2 linked regions of the Saccharomyces cerevisiae S288C genome follow. Each later gene encodes a partner of the first gene's protein in a complex. Each region holds a gene or a part of one and is shown on either strand. Other genes may lie near its edges. The genes, in order: POL1 and CDC13. A codon is read from its position in the direction of its gene.

Region 1 (6,735 bases):
TGGCAATAACGGCGAAACAAACAACTTTGGCGACAATATGCAAAATAACCATCCTTTTGAGCCAAACTTTATGGGAAGCCCTTCTCAGTTTCCCGCTGACGCAACTAATATGACATCAATCGACCATGGCGGCTTCACAAATGTTGACATTACATCAACTGAGAACAATACTACCGGTGACAATGGAGTGGATGCGCTATCAAATCTACTACATAGGACAACACACACACCGAACCGCTCCTCCCCCCTAAGCAATGTCACTTCTGCTCAAAATTCCTCTTCACAACAACGAAAACATTCGGAAAGCAAAGTCGATAGTAACAGCGATAATAACAGCTCCAACAAAGCCCCCAATATAACTGTTCCTGACTATTCAATTATACCAACCTCTGTTTTAGTAACTCTATTACCGAGGGTCAACGTGCCCAACGGCGCATATAACTCGTTGATCAGCGCGGGATTTGACAATGATCAAATAGATGCTATAGCCGCAATAATGGCGTATCATCATCAAAAAAAGATTAGGGAAAATAACAGTAATAATAATAAAAACATCAACACCAATGACAGTCAAGAGGCACCCATTCTAAAAAACATCAACGAACTTTTAAGTGTCTTAATACCACCCTCTCCGGCTGAAACTGCTGCGCCAACTACCTTATCAACGTCGCCTTCGTTCAATGAGCACGGTGTAGTAGCAGAGGCTTCTTTTCTAAGCTCCATTTTGGAACTGGGCATAAAGCATCCAAAAAGTAATAATATTCACAATCAACGACAACCTTCACGAAACGATCATAAAATATCAAGAGAGAGTGACGGTAACAATGGAAACGATAATGTCCATCATAATAACGCTGTTATTAAGTCAAGTACGACGCGTGGAGACGAAATTGCCAAGATACGATCCGAGCCAACTTTAAATGCAAGTTCTTCTGATCACAAGGAAAATAGTTTAAAAAGATCACACTCCGGAGATTTGAAAAATAAAAAAGTACCCGTCGACCGCAAGTATTCTGATAATGAAGACGATGAATATGACGATGCAGATTTACACGGCTTTGAAAAGAAGCAACTGATCAAGAAAGAGTTAGGGGACGACGATGAAGATTTATTGATACAGTCGAAAAAATCTCATCAAAAAAAAAAACTAAAGGAAAAGGAGTTAGAATCATCGATACATGAACTGACCGAAATTGCAGCATCCTTACAAAAACGGATACATACGTTAGAAACGGAAAACAAGCTTTTAAAGAATTTAGTTCTGAGTAGCGGTGAAACGGAAGGAATAAAAAAAGCTGAAAGCTTAAAGAAGCAAATTTTTGAGAAGGTTCAGAAAGAATAAAATAACAGACTATACAGTTTAATTATATATATATATATATATACGTGCATTTTTCTTAAAGAAATATAACTTTTTTCTTGTACTGCCTGCAATCTCTATTCTTCATTCATCACACATCTATTCAAACGCGTTAAAATTTTTTTGTTAGCCTATAAGTAAAACGCGTCGCGTGTATCCAATTTTACTGAATTAAATTCTTTACTCATTGGATGATATATATCTTCTTGGTCTAGACAACGAACACATACCAATTCAGACTCACGAGAAAAAAAACTGTCTTCACTCTGCTATTAGAAACCAAATAGTATCAAGGCATAAAATAAACAGTGGAAAATGTCTTCTAAAAGTGAAAAATTAGAAAAATTGAGAAAGCTGCAAGCCGCTCGAAATGGTACATCCATCGATGATTACGAAGGTGACGAATCAGATGGTGACAGAATATACGACGAAATCGACGAAAAAGAATACAGGGCCAGAAAGCGCCAGGAATTGCTGCATGACGATTTTGTTGTAGATGACGATGGTGTAGGCTACGTCGATCGTGGTGTCGAAGAAGATTGGAGGGAAGTTGATAACAGTTCAAGTGATGAAGACACTGGAAACCTTGCTAGCAAGGATTCTAAAAGGAAGAAGAATATAAAAAGGGAGAAAGACCACCAGATTACAGATATGCTGCGAACTCAACATTCCAAATCAACACTGCTAGCACATGCAAAAAAATCCCAAAAAAAAAGTATCCCCATCGATAATTTTGATGACATTCTTGGTGAGTTTGAATCTGGTGAAGTAGAAAAACCCAATATTTTACTGCCATCCAAATTAAGGGAAAATTTAAATTCTTCGCCGACTAGTGAATTTAAATCGTCAATAAAGAGAGTTAACGGAAACGATGAGTCAAGTCATGATGCCGGTATTTCTAAAAAAGTCAAGATTGATCCAGATTCAAGTACTGATAAATATTTAGAAATCGAATCATCACCGTTAAAATTACAAAGCAGGAAACTGCGCTACGCAAATGATGTACAGGATTTATTGGATGATGTGGAAAATTCCCCAGTAGTAGCCACAAAGAGACAGAATGTACTTCAAGATACGTTACTAGCAAATCCACCATCCGCTCAAAGTTTGGCTGATGAAGAAGATGATGAAGATAGTGATGAAGATATTATTCTGAAAAGAAGAACTATGAGAAGTGTGACAACAACTAGACGCGTGAATATAGACTCAAGAAGTAACCCTTCAACTTCACCGTTTGTCACAGCACCCGGAACGCCAATCGGTATTAAAGGACTAACTCCAAGTAAATCTTTGCAGAGCAACACCGATGTTGCTACACTTGCGGTTAATGTCAAAAAGGAAGATGTGGTAGATCCGGAAACTGATACTTTCCAAATGTTTTGGTTGGATTACTGTGAAGTGAACAACACTTTGATTTTATTTGGTAAGGTTAAACTAAAGGATGATAATTGTGTGTCAGCCATGGTTCAAATCAACGGTCTCTGTAGAGAGCTATTTTTCCTTCCAAGAGAGGGTAAAACACCTACCGATATACACGAGGAAATAATTCCGTTACTGATGGATAAATATGGACTGGATAATATCCGCGCTAAACCTCAAAAAATGAAATATTCGTTTGAGCTTCCTGACATTCCATCTGAAAGTGATTATTTGAAAGTCTTACTTCCATACCAAACACCGAAGTCCAGTCGAGACACCATTCCATCGGATTTATCTAGCGATACCTTTTATCATGTTTTTGGTGGGAATTCCAATATTTTTGAAAGTTTTGTTATTCAAAATAGGATTATGGGACCATGCTGGTTAGATATAAAGGGAGCAGATTTCAATTCAATTCGTAATGCTTCTCACTGTGCGGTTGAAGTTTCGGTAGATAAGCCTCAGAATATCACGCCTACTACAACAAAGACAATGCCTAATCTGAGATGTCTATCTTTATCGATTCAGACGTTAATGAATCCCAAGGAAAATAAGCAAGAGATTGTTTCGATAACGTTATCAGCATATAGAAATATCTCGTTGGATTCACCGATACCTGAAAATATAAAACCAGACGACTTGTGTACTTTAGTAAGGCCGCCTCAGTCAACTAGTTTCCCATTAGGTTTAGCTGCACTGGCAAAACAGAAACTACCCGGTAGAGTCAGGTTGTTCAACAACGAAAAGGCCATGCTATCTTGTTTTTGTGCTATGTTAAAAGTGGAAGACCCAGATGTTATCATAGGCCATCGTTTGCAAAATGTCTACTTAGATGTTTTAGCTCATAGAATGCATGATCTCAACATTCCAACGTTCAGCTCTATTGGCCGTCGTTTAAGAAGGACTTGGCCTGAAAAATTCGGTAGAGGAAATTCGAATATGAACCATTTTTTTATTAGTGACATTTGCTCTGGTAGGCTGATATGTGATATCGCCAATGAAATGGGTCAATCATTAACACCCAAATGTCAAAGTTGGGATCTTTCAGAGATGTATCAAGTTACATGTGAAAAGGAGCATAAGCCGTTAGATATTGATTATCAAAATCCACAATACCAAAATGATGTAAATAGTATGACAATGGCCCTACAAGAGAATATTACTAATTGTATGATTTCTGCTGAGGTGTCTTATAGAATTCAATTATTAACCTTGACTAAACAGTTGACAAATTTGGCTGGTAATGCATGGGCCCAAACGCTAGGCGGTACAAGAGCTGGTAGAAATGAGTATATCTTACTACATGAATTTTCAAGAAATGGTTTTATTGTTCCTGACAAAGAAGGCAATAGAAGTAGAGCTCAGAAACAAAGACAAAATGAAGAAAATGCTGATGCACCAGTTAATTCTAAAAAGGCAAAATATCAGGGTGGTTTAGTTTTTGAACCTGAGAAAGGTCTTCATAAGAATTACGTTTTAGTCATGGACTTTAATTCTTTGTATCCATCTATTATCCAGGAATTTAATATATGTTTTACCACCGTTGATAGAAATAAGGAAGATATCGATGAGTTACCAAGCGTACCTCCTTCAGAGGTGGATCAGGGTGTTTTACCAAGGTTATTAGCTAATCTGGTGGATCGTCGACGTGAAGTTAAGAAGGTGATGAAAACTGAAACTGATCCCCATAAGCGAGTTCAATGTGATATTCGTCAACAAGCTCTAAAATTGACTGCCAATTCTATGTATGGTTGTTTGGGTTATGTTAACAGTAGATTTTACGCAAAGCCGCTCGCCATGTTAGTCACTAATAAGGGTCGTGAGATTTTAATGAATACAAGACAACTAGCTGAAAGTATGAATCTTCTTGTAGTTTATGGTGATACAGATTCGGTCATGATAGATACCGGTTGTGATAATTATGCGGATGCAATTAAAATTGGCTTGGGATTTAAAAGGCTAGTAAATGAGCGCTATAGATTATTGGAGATTGATATTGATAATGTTTTTAAGAAGTTACTATTACATGCCAAGAAAAAGTACGCTGCTTTGACTGTAAATTTGGACAAAAATGGTAATGGAACTACTGTTCTAGAAGTTAAAGGGTTGGACATGAAGCGTCGTGAATTTTGTCCACTTTCGAGGGACGTTTCTATACATGTTTTAAACACCATCCTGTCAGATAAGGACCCAGAAGAAGCATTGCAAGAAGTGTATGATTACTTAGAAGACATCAGAATAAAAGTGGAAACCAATAACATTAGAATTGATAAATATAAGATCAATATGAAGCTTTCAAAAGATCCCAAGGCCTACCCAGGTGGTAAAAACATGCCTGCAGTCCAAGTAGCTCTAAGAATGCGTAAGGCTGGTAGAGTTGTTAAAGCTGGCTCTGTCATCACTTTTGTGATCACAAAGCAGGATGAAATAGACAATGCAGCGGATACGCCGGCTCTTTCTGTGGCTGAACGTGCCCATGCATTGAATGAGGTAATGATTAAAAGTAACAATTTGATACCTGATCCACAATATTATCTCGAGAAACAAATATTCGCGCCGGTAGAAAGGTTGTTAGAAAGAATTGATAGCTTCAACGTGGTGCGTTTGAGTGAAGCGCTTGGTTTAGATAGTAAAAAGTATTTTAGAAGAGAGGGCGGTAATAACAATGGAGAAGATATTAATAATTTGCAACCCTTAGAAACAACAATTACAGACGTTGAAAGGTTTAAGGATACTGTAACATTAGAATTAAGTTGCCCATCATGCGATAAAAGGTTTCCATTTGGTGGTATTGTATCTTCAAATTACTATCGCGTGTCATATAATGGTTTACAGTGCAAGCATTGTGAGCAACTTTTTACTCCTCTTCAATTAACTAGCCAAATAGAGCATTCTATAAGGGCACACATTTCCTTATATTACGCAGGGTGGTTACAGTGTGATGACAGCACATGCGGTATAGTTACAAGACAAGTCTCCGTTTTTGGTAAGCGTTGTTTGAATGACGGCTGCACGGGTGTCATGAGATACAAATACAGTGACAAGCAATTGTACAATCAACTTTTATATTTCGATTCTTTATTCGATTGTGAAAAAAATAAAAAGCAAGAATTGAAGCCAATATATCTACCCGATGATCTCGACTACCCCAAGGAACAGCTGACAGAATCATCTATTAAGGCTTTAACAGAACAAAACAGAGAACTAATGGAAACCGGCCGGAGCGTTGTTCAAAAATATTTGAACGATTGTGGACGTCGCTACGTTGATATGACTAGCATATTTGATTTCATGCTAAATTAGGTAAGTATTTTGTATGTGTTGTGTGATCTCATGAATATTCTATATAGTAAGAAAAGAATACAACTGTACATACGCATCCTACTAGATACCTAATGTACAGACATCGGAAGGAGCGCTAGGAAGCTTTTATTATTGAAGGTTTTCAGCGATATTCTGAGAATGTTTTTTCGGCTCTGGTGATCAGTTCTCACATGCATCATCCTTTAATAAACCCATGCATTAAGATTCGCCTTATCAGCAAGATCAGATAAGCGAACAGCTTCATCAATGAAATAGAATGCTTAAATCTTGTGAAGCACTGTCATAAGCCAGTTTGATAAAAGCAATACCCACAATATAGTTGGATATCATTTACCTTGATCTGCTCTTGCTTTCGAGGTGACATAGCATTTTTAGCCATCTGATTCCTTAGGTTCAAAGGCACTCATCATTCCTCCTCTAAAACACATTTCAACGTCATTCATAATCTGGAATCAACATAACAATATCCTAGAACACATCATCAATGGTCACTAACAATGGAGATGGTGAGCACCTTGGGATCCGAAGAAACGGAAATTTAAGGCATCCTTCCAATAATATGAAAATTCCCAGAAGGGCTCAATCAACAGTTCTCAATTCAAACCCATTTTATAGTAGGAAGTATTCTATGT
Region 2 (5,287 bases), on another chromosome or scaffold:
AGCCATAGCATACAAACGATCAATTCGGCACAGAAGTACATTCCTATGTAGATCAATGTGGGTAGGGCCAGACACAAAATACCTAAGGCAATCAGATAAAACACACTAATGACACCTGTTGCCAATGTGAAGTTGGTTTTCTTATTACCTCTATTTCCATAGGCGTGGATGGCATACGCCAAAAGTGACATCACCAAAACCGATGATGCAAATTGAGAAAATCTCAAAAGTGTTAAGAAAACTCCAGTAACTCGTTTCATAACGTTGATATAATATATCTATTTGGTTTATGTTCCTCAATTGAAAAAAAAAACCGTAAACTTTCGTACTGAGAACATCAAAGCATAATGGTAACGGACGCTTTGTTGAACCTTTTTATACGTTGTCTTTTAGGGAATGTTAACCAACCATCGTCATCCCTTAAGATACGGTTTCAATATCCCTTGGAAACCAAATATACGTTAAAGTCATCAACGAGTATGCTTACTGGTTTATTAGTAACACAAACCTCAAAATCTCCTTAACTATCGTCAATTTAAGGGTATATATCCCCTTTCTCATTGTGCGTTTCTTTTTCCATGCCAGGTCAATACTCTCCTATGACTGGAAATACACTGTAAACATGCTTTTAGCCCTCTGGATTAGTAAGACTGGCAGGGCATCGCTTCGCCGTCCCTTTTTTCACTTTTACATTTTTTTTTTTTCATTTTCGCCCTTAAAGTTTTTTAAAGTTGATTTACTTACTTTTATGTAAAGAATATAAAACAATTCTAGACTTTCTTGGCGAAGGTTATTGAAGGAAGCGTGAATTCAAAAATCCATCACAGATATTTTGTATTCATTTTTTTGGGGAGGGCTCCTCTCCGCTCTACTCAACTTCACTGAGAACATAACATGGAAAGATTTTGGTACTTTATCTTGCGAAAGAAAGATTGCAAATAATGTTTGCTTTTTATTTTCTTCTCGTATATATCTATAAGGTCAATCTTATTGGTCACTGTCAAGAATGATTGTAACGGGCCCTTCATTAGTTAAAGAGCAACTCATCATTGCGCCGAATTCACCATCCTTTACTTTTTCCTCACCCAAATCACTTCTTAGTAATTTTAAGAATTCTTCATAAAGTTCTTTAGCTATATGACCCTTTTGGGCCAAATGGAAATCGGGTTTAGTTCCCTTCTTGGTTTTTGCCATCAAAGTGAATTGAGACACGGATAGAATTTCACCATTGGCCTCTTTAATATTCTTCTTCCATAGATTTCTGGATTCATCTTCGAAGATTCTCAAACTAAGAACCTTTTTCGATAATTTATCTATCTCCGCCATAGAATCATCAATGGAAATACCTACTAGGAGCATATAACCATGTTTAATACTGTCACATAGATAGAGGTGTTAGTAAAAAAAATTGGTGCACTAACGAAGCTGAAAAAACCGGTAACATACCTTGAAATAACTTTTGAATCGACGACTACAGATGCTTGGCTGACTTTTTGTAAGACAATCTTCATTGTAAATCCGCTGCTGAATAATATGTGGATTATTTAATATGTACATGCAGCCTTGATTAACGTGATTATACTTTTTAAACCTTTGATATCCAAATTTTTCAACGTCATAAGAGACGCGAAGGCCTAGTGAGATGCGAAATGCTAATTCAAAATGGAAATTTAAGAATATATTCATATATGTTTCTCTTTGGATACGAATGACCGTGGAAACTATCGCCTAAAAATGGATACCTTAGAAGAGCCTGAGTGTCCTCCACATAAAAATCGTATTTTTGTGAGCTCGAGTAAAGATTTTGAAGGCTATCCCAGCAAAGCAATAGTTCCCGTGCAATTCGTGGCGCTTTTAACCTCAATACACCTGACTGAAACAAAATGTTTGCTAGGCTTTTCTAATTTTGAGAGGCGAGGAGATCAATCCCAAGAAGATCAATATTTAATCAAACTGAAGTTCAAAGATAGGGGCTCGGAGAGGTTAGCCCGGATCACTATTTCCTTACTTTGCCAATACTTTGATATTGAACTGCCAGATTTAGATTCTGACTCAGGCGCATCCCCAACAGTAATACTGAGAGATATTCACCTTGAAAGGTTATGTTTTTCAAGTTGTAAAGCTTTATATGTATCAAAACACGGGAACTATACTCTATTCTTAGAGGACATAAAACCGTTGGATTTGGTAAGTGTGATAAGCACCATATCTACAAAATCGACAAATAGCAGCAAGCATTCGTCATCAGAACTTATTTCAGAATGTGATTTGAACAACTCACTTGTGGATATCTTCAACAATTTAATAGAAATGAATAGAGACGAGAAAAACAGGTTTAAATTTGTAAAGTTGATTCACTACGATATAGAACTAAAAAAGTTCGTTCAAGACCAACAAAAGGTATTATCGCAGAAATCAAAAGCCGCAGCAATTAATCCTTTCTTTGTGCCAAATAGACTAGGGATACCTTACATTGAATCCCAAAACGAATTCAACTCGCAGCTTATGACGCTTAATGTAGATGAACCGACCACAGATATAAGCAACATGGGAGAGGAAATGCATGACAGCGCAGATCCCATTGAGGATTCAGATTCCTCAACTACCTCCTCTACCGGGAAATATTTCAGCTCAAAATCCTACATCCAGTCACAGACACCTGAAAGGAAAACAAGCGTACCAAATAATTGGCACGATGATGATTCCGGAAGCAAGAGGAAGAGAAAGCTTTCTTTCCACAGTCCGAACGCGTCCTCAATCCGCAAAGCCATCAGTTATGAGCAACTTTCCCTAGCTAGTGTAGGCTCAGTTGAAAGGTTAGAGGGCAAAATTGTTGGCATGAATCCACCTCAATTCGCCAGTATAAATGAGTTCAAATATTGCACATTGAAATTATATTTTACGCAGCTCTTACCAAATGTCCCAGACAAGGTCCTGGTGCCAGGCGTCAATTGCATTGAGATCGTTATCCCGACGAGAGAGCGAATCTGTGAGCTCTTCGGTGTTTTAAACTGTCAAAGCGACAAGATATCGGATATTTTACTACTGGAAAAGCCTGATCGAATTTCCGTCGAAGTTGAAAGGATCCTGTGGGACAATGACAAGACCGCCAGCCCAGGTATGGCAGTATGGAGTTTGAAGAACATTAGCACCGACACGCAGGCGCAGGCGCAGGTGCAGGTGCCTGCGCAATCGTCGGCGTCAATCGATCCGTCTCGCACAAGGATGAGCAAAATGGCAAGGAAAGACCCCACCATCGAATTCTGTCAGTTGGGACTCGACACTTTTGAGACCAAATACATAACAATGTTTGGCATGCTAGTCTCCTGCTCGTTTGATAAACCTGCCTTTATATCTTTTGTCTTTAGCGATTTTACCAAGAACGATATCGTCCAAAACTATCTTTACGACAGATATCTAATAGATTACGAGAACAAGTTAGAGCTGAACGAGGGCTTCAAAGCCATCATGTACAAAAACCAATTCGAAACGTTTGACTCTAAGCTCAGAAAAATATTCAACAACGGGCTAAGAGATCTACAGAACGGCCGCGATGAAAACCTTTCGCAATACGGCATAGTTTGTAAGATGAATATAAAAGTGAAAATGTACAACGGCAAATTGAATGCCATTGTGCGCGAATGTGAGCCGGTCCCGCATTCCCAAATAAGCAGCATCGCCTCGCCTTCACAGTGCGAACATTTAAGATTGTTCTACCAACGAGCGTTCAAGAGAATTGGCGAATCCGCAATTTCACGCTATTTCGAAGAGTACCGGAGGTTTTTCCCCATACATAGAAACGGTTCTCATCTCGCGAAACTGAGGTTCGATGAAGTAAAGCATGAACCAAAAAAATCACCCACTACACCAGCTCTCGCAGAACACATACCCGACCTGAATGCAGACGTGTCCTCCTTCGATGTAAAGTTCACAGATATATCTTCTCTCTTGGACTCCTCGGCTCGCCTCCCGCGCCCACAGCAAACACACAAGAGCAACACATTATACAGTTGCGAGGGCCGTATCATCGCCATCGAGTACCACGCATCTGATCTCTGCTTCCATATCACGAATGAGCTCCCACTTTTACAAACCCGCGGCTTGGCCCCGGAGCGAGTGTTGCAACTACACATCATTACCTCCAAGAACTTTGCTTATTTTTTCAACCGCTCAAGCGCCTACTTACAGCGTCAGCCTCTTGAGGAAAAATATACGCAATTGGCACAATTTCTCGGCCATTCATTTAAATTCAATATAACCTCCTCGCTCACGCTGTTCCCTGACACTACCGTGGCACTCCAGATCTGGTGCCCAATTGAATGCACCTTTCGGGAATTGCAACAACAGCTGGCCCATCCGAAGGTTGCAGCGGCTCCTGATTCAGGGAGTCTTGATTGCGCAATTAATGCTACCGTCAATCCTCTGCGACTTCTTGCCGCGCAAAATGGCGTCACCGTGAAAAAGGAGGAGGATAATGACGATGACGCCGGAGCCGTTCCCACCTCGTAAGACATGATCCGCGCAGCCCAACGCGGCGGTGCCAAATTGCAGTGACGTCTCGGAGTAATATAAAAAAAAAAGACCAAATAACCAAATTTAAGGGTGCTCTGAATATAAGGGAGTGGAACGTTTTCACACGAAGGAAAAGGGAAAGAGGGGAGTGGTAAGAAGCAAGAGTCAATGAAAGGTCTTCCTTCCTTCTTGATGCTAAAACAAGGATAGTCTGGAATGGGGAGGAGCATTCGGCGCAGATGCCGACATATAAAAGGATGGTTGCTTTGCAACAGTTACTTGATCTTGCTTTGTTCTCTTGATTAGTTATCCGTTAGATGCAAACTTTAAGTACAGTAATTTTGAAGTGAATTAAAAAGAAAGAGGTATTTACGTTTAACGCTTATACTTTCCTTTTTATCCAAGTAACAAGTAACACTAATCACTATAATCTACCGCTATGATTTTCAAAAGGTTCGTTAATTTGCTTGTGTTTTTATTCCTACTCGGTGCTGGCTTATTGACGTTTTTTCTTATTCTGTCAGGAGGCAGAGAATCTGGAACGCTGAAAAATTTTTATTGGTTACAGGCTGATACAAACGGCTTTAACAGCGCTCCATCGACCACGAGATGGTACAATTACAATTGGTGCGGCTACGAAGACGGCCAGCTAGCTAATTGCTCTAGCAGGGCGCCCGCCAAGCCTTTCTCTCCCAGAGACAATTTTGGTAACTCTGTCAATTTACCATCGTCGTTCAGAAACAACCGGGATACCTACTATTATCTATCCAGGGTT

What was found.
Region 2: the proteins of POL1 (region 1) and CDC13 are in contact, whole or in part, in a crystal structure (PDB 3OIQ), measured with the Saccharomyces cerevisiae proteins. Residues at the interface, in NP_014297.3 of Saccharomyces cerevisiae: Val230 (codon at 2,363), Asp232 (codon at 2,369), Leu233 (codon at 2,372), Leu234 (codon at 2,375), Asp236 (codon at 2,381), Val237 (codon at 2,384), Glu238 (codon at 2,387), Ser240 (codon at 2,393), Pro241 (codon at 2,396), Val242 (codon at 2,399), Val243 (codon at 2,402), Ala244 (codon at 2,405), Thr245 (codon at 2,408); in NP_010061.1 of Saccharomyces cerevisiae: Lys30 (codon at 1,822), Ile32 (codon at 1,828), Leu52 (codon at 1,888), Leu71 (codon at 1,945), Lys73 (codon at 1,951), Lys75 (codon at 1,957), Leu131 (codon at 2,125), Val133 (codon at 2,131), Ser134 (codon at 2,134), Lys135 (codon at 2,137), His136 (codon at 2,140), Gly137 (codon at 2,143), Asn138 (codon at 2,146), Tyr139 (codon at 2,149), Thr140 (codon at 2,152), Phe142 (codon at 2,158).

What each region holds. Positions count from the first base shown.
Region 1 is NC_001146.8:428,412-435,146, forward strand, and holds POL1 (DNA-directed DNA polymerase alpha catalytic subunit POL1), read left to right. Parts: upstream 1-1,675; coding exon 1,676-6,082; downstream 6,083-6,735. Other genes in the region: MET4 (Met4p), read left to right, coding at 1-1,342; AVT4 (Avt4p), read left to right, coding at 6,588-6,735. UniProt on the Saccharomyces cerevisiae protein: Catalytic component of DNA polymerase alpha, which in complex with DNA primase (DNA polymerase alpha:primase) constitutes a replicative polymerase. POL1 has a role in promoting telomere replication during interaction with CDC13.
Region 2 is NC_001136.10:61,466-66,752, reverse strand, and holds CDC13 (telomere-binding protein CDC13), read left to right. Parts: upstream 1-1,734; coding exon 1,735-4,509; downstream 4,510-5,287. Other genes in the region: YDL218W (uncharacterized protein), read right to left, coding at 1-260; DTD1 (D-tyrosyl-tRNA(Tyr) deacylase), read right to left, coding at 988-1,375, 1,447-1,511; FMP45 (Fmp45p), read left to right, coding at 4,952-5,287. UniProt on the Saccharomyces cerevisiae protein: Single-stranded telomeric DNA-binding protein that regulates telomere replication. Has a role in both positive and negative regulation. Promotes [TG(1-3)] strand lengthening via interaction with EST1.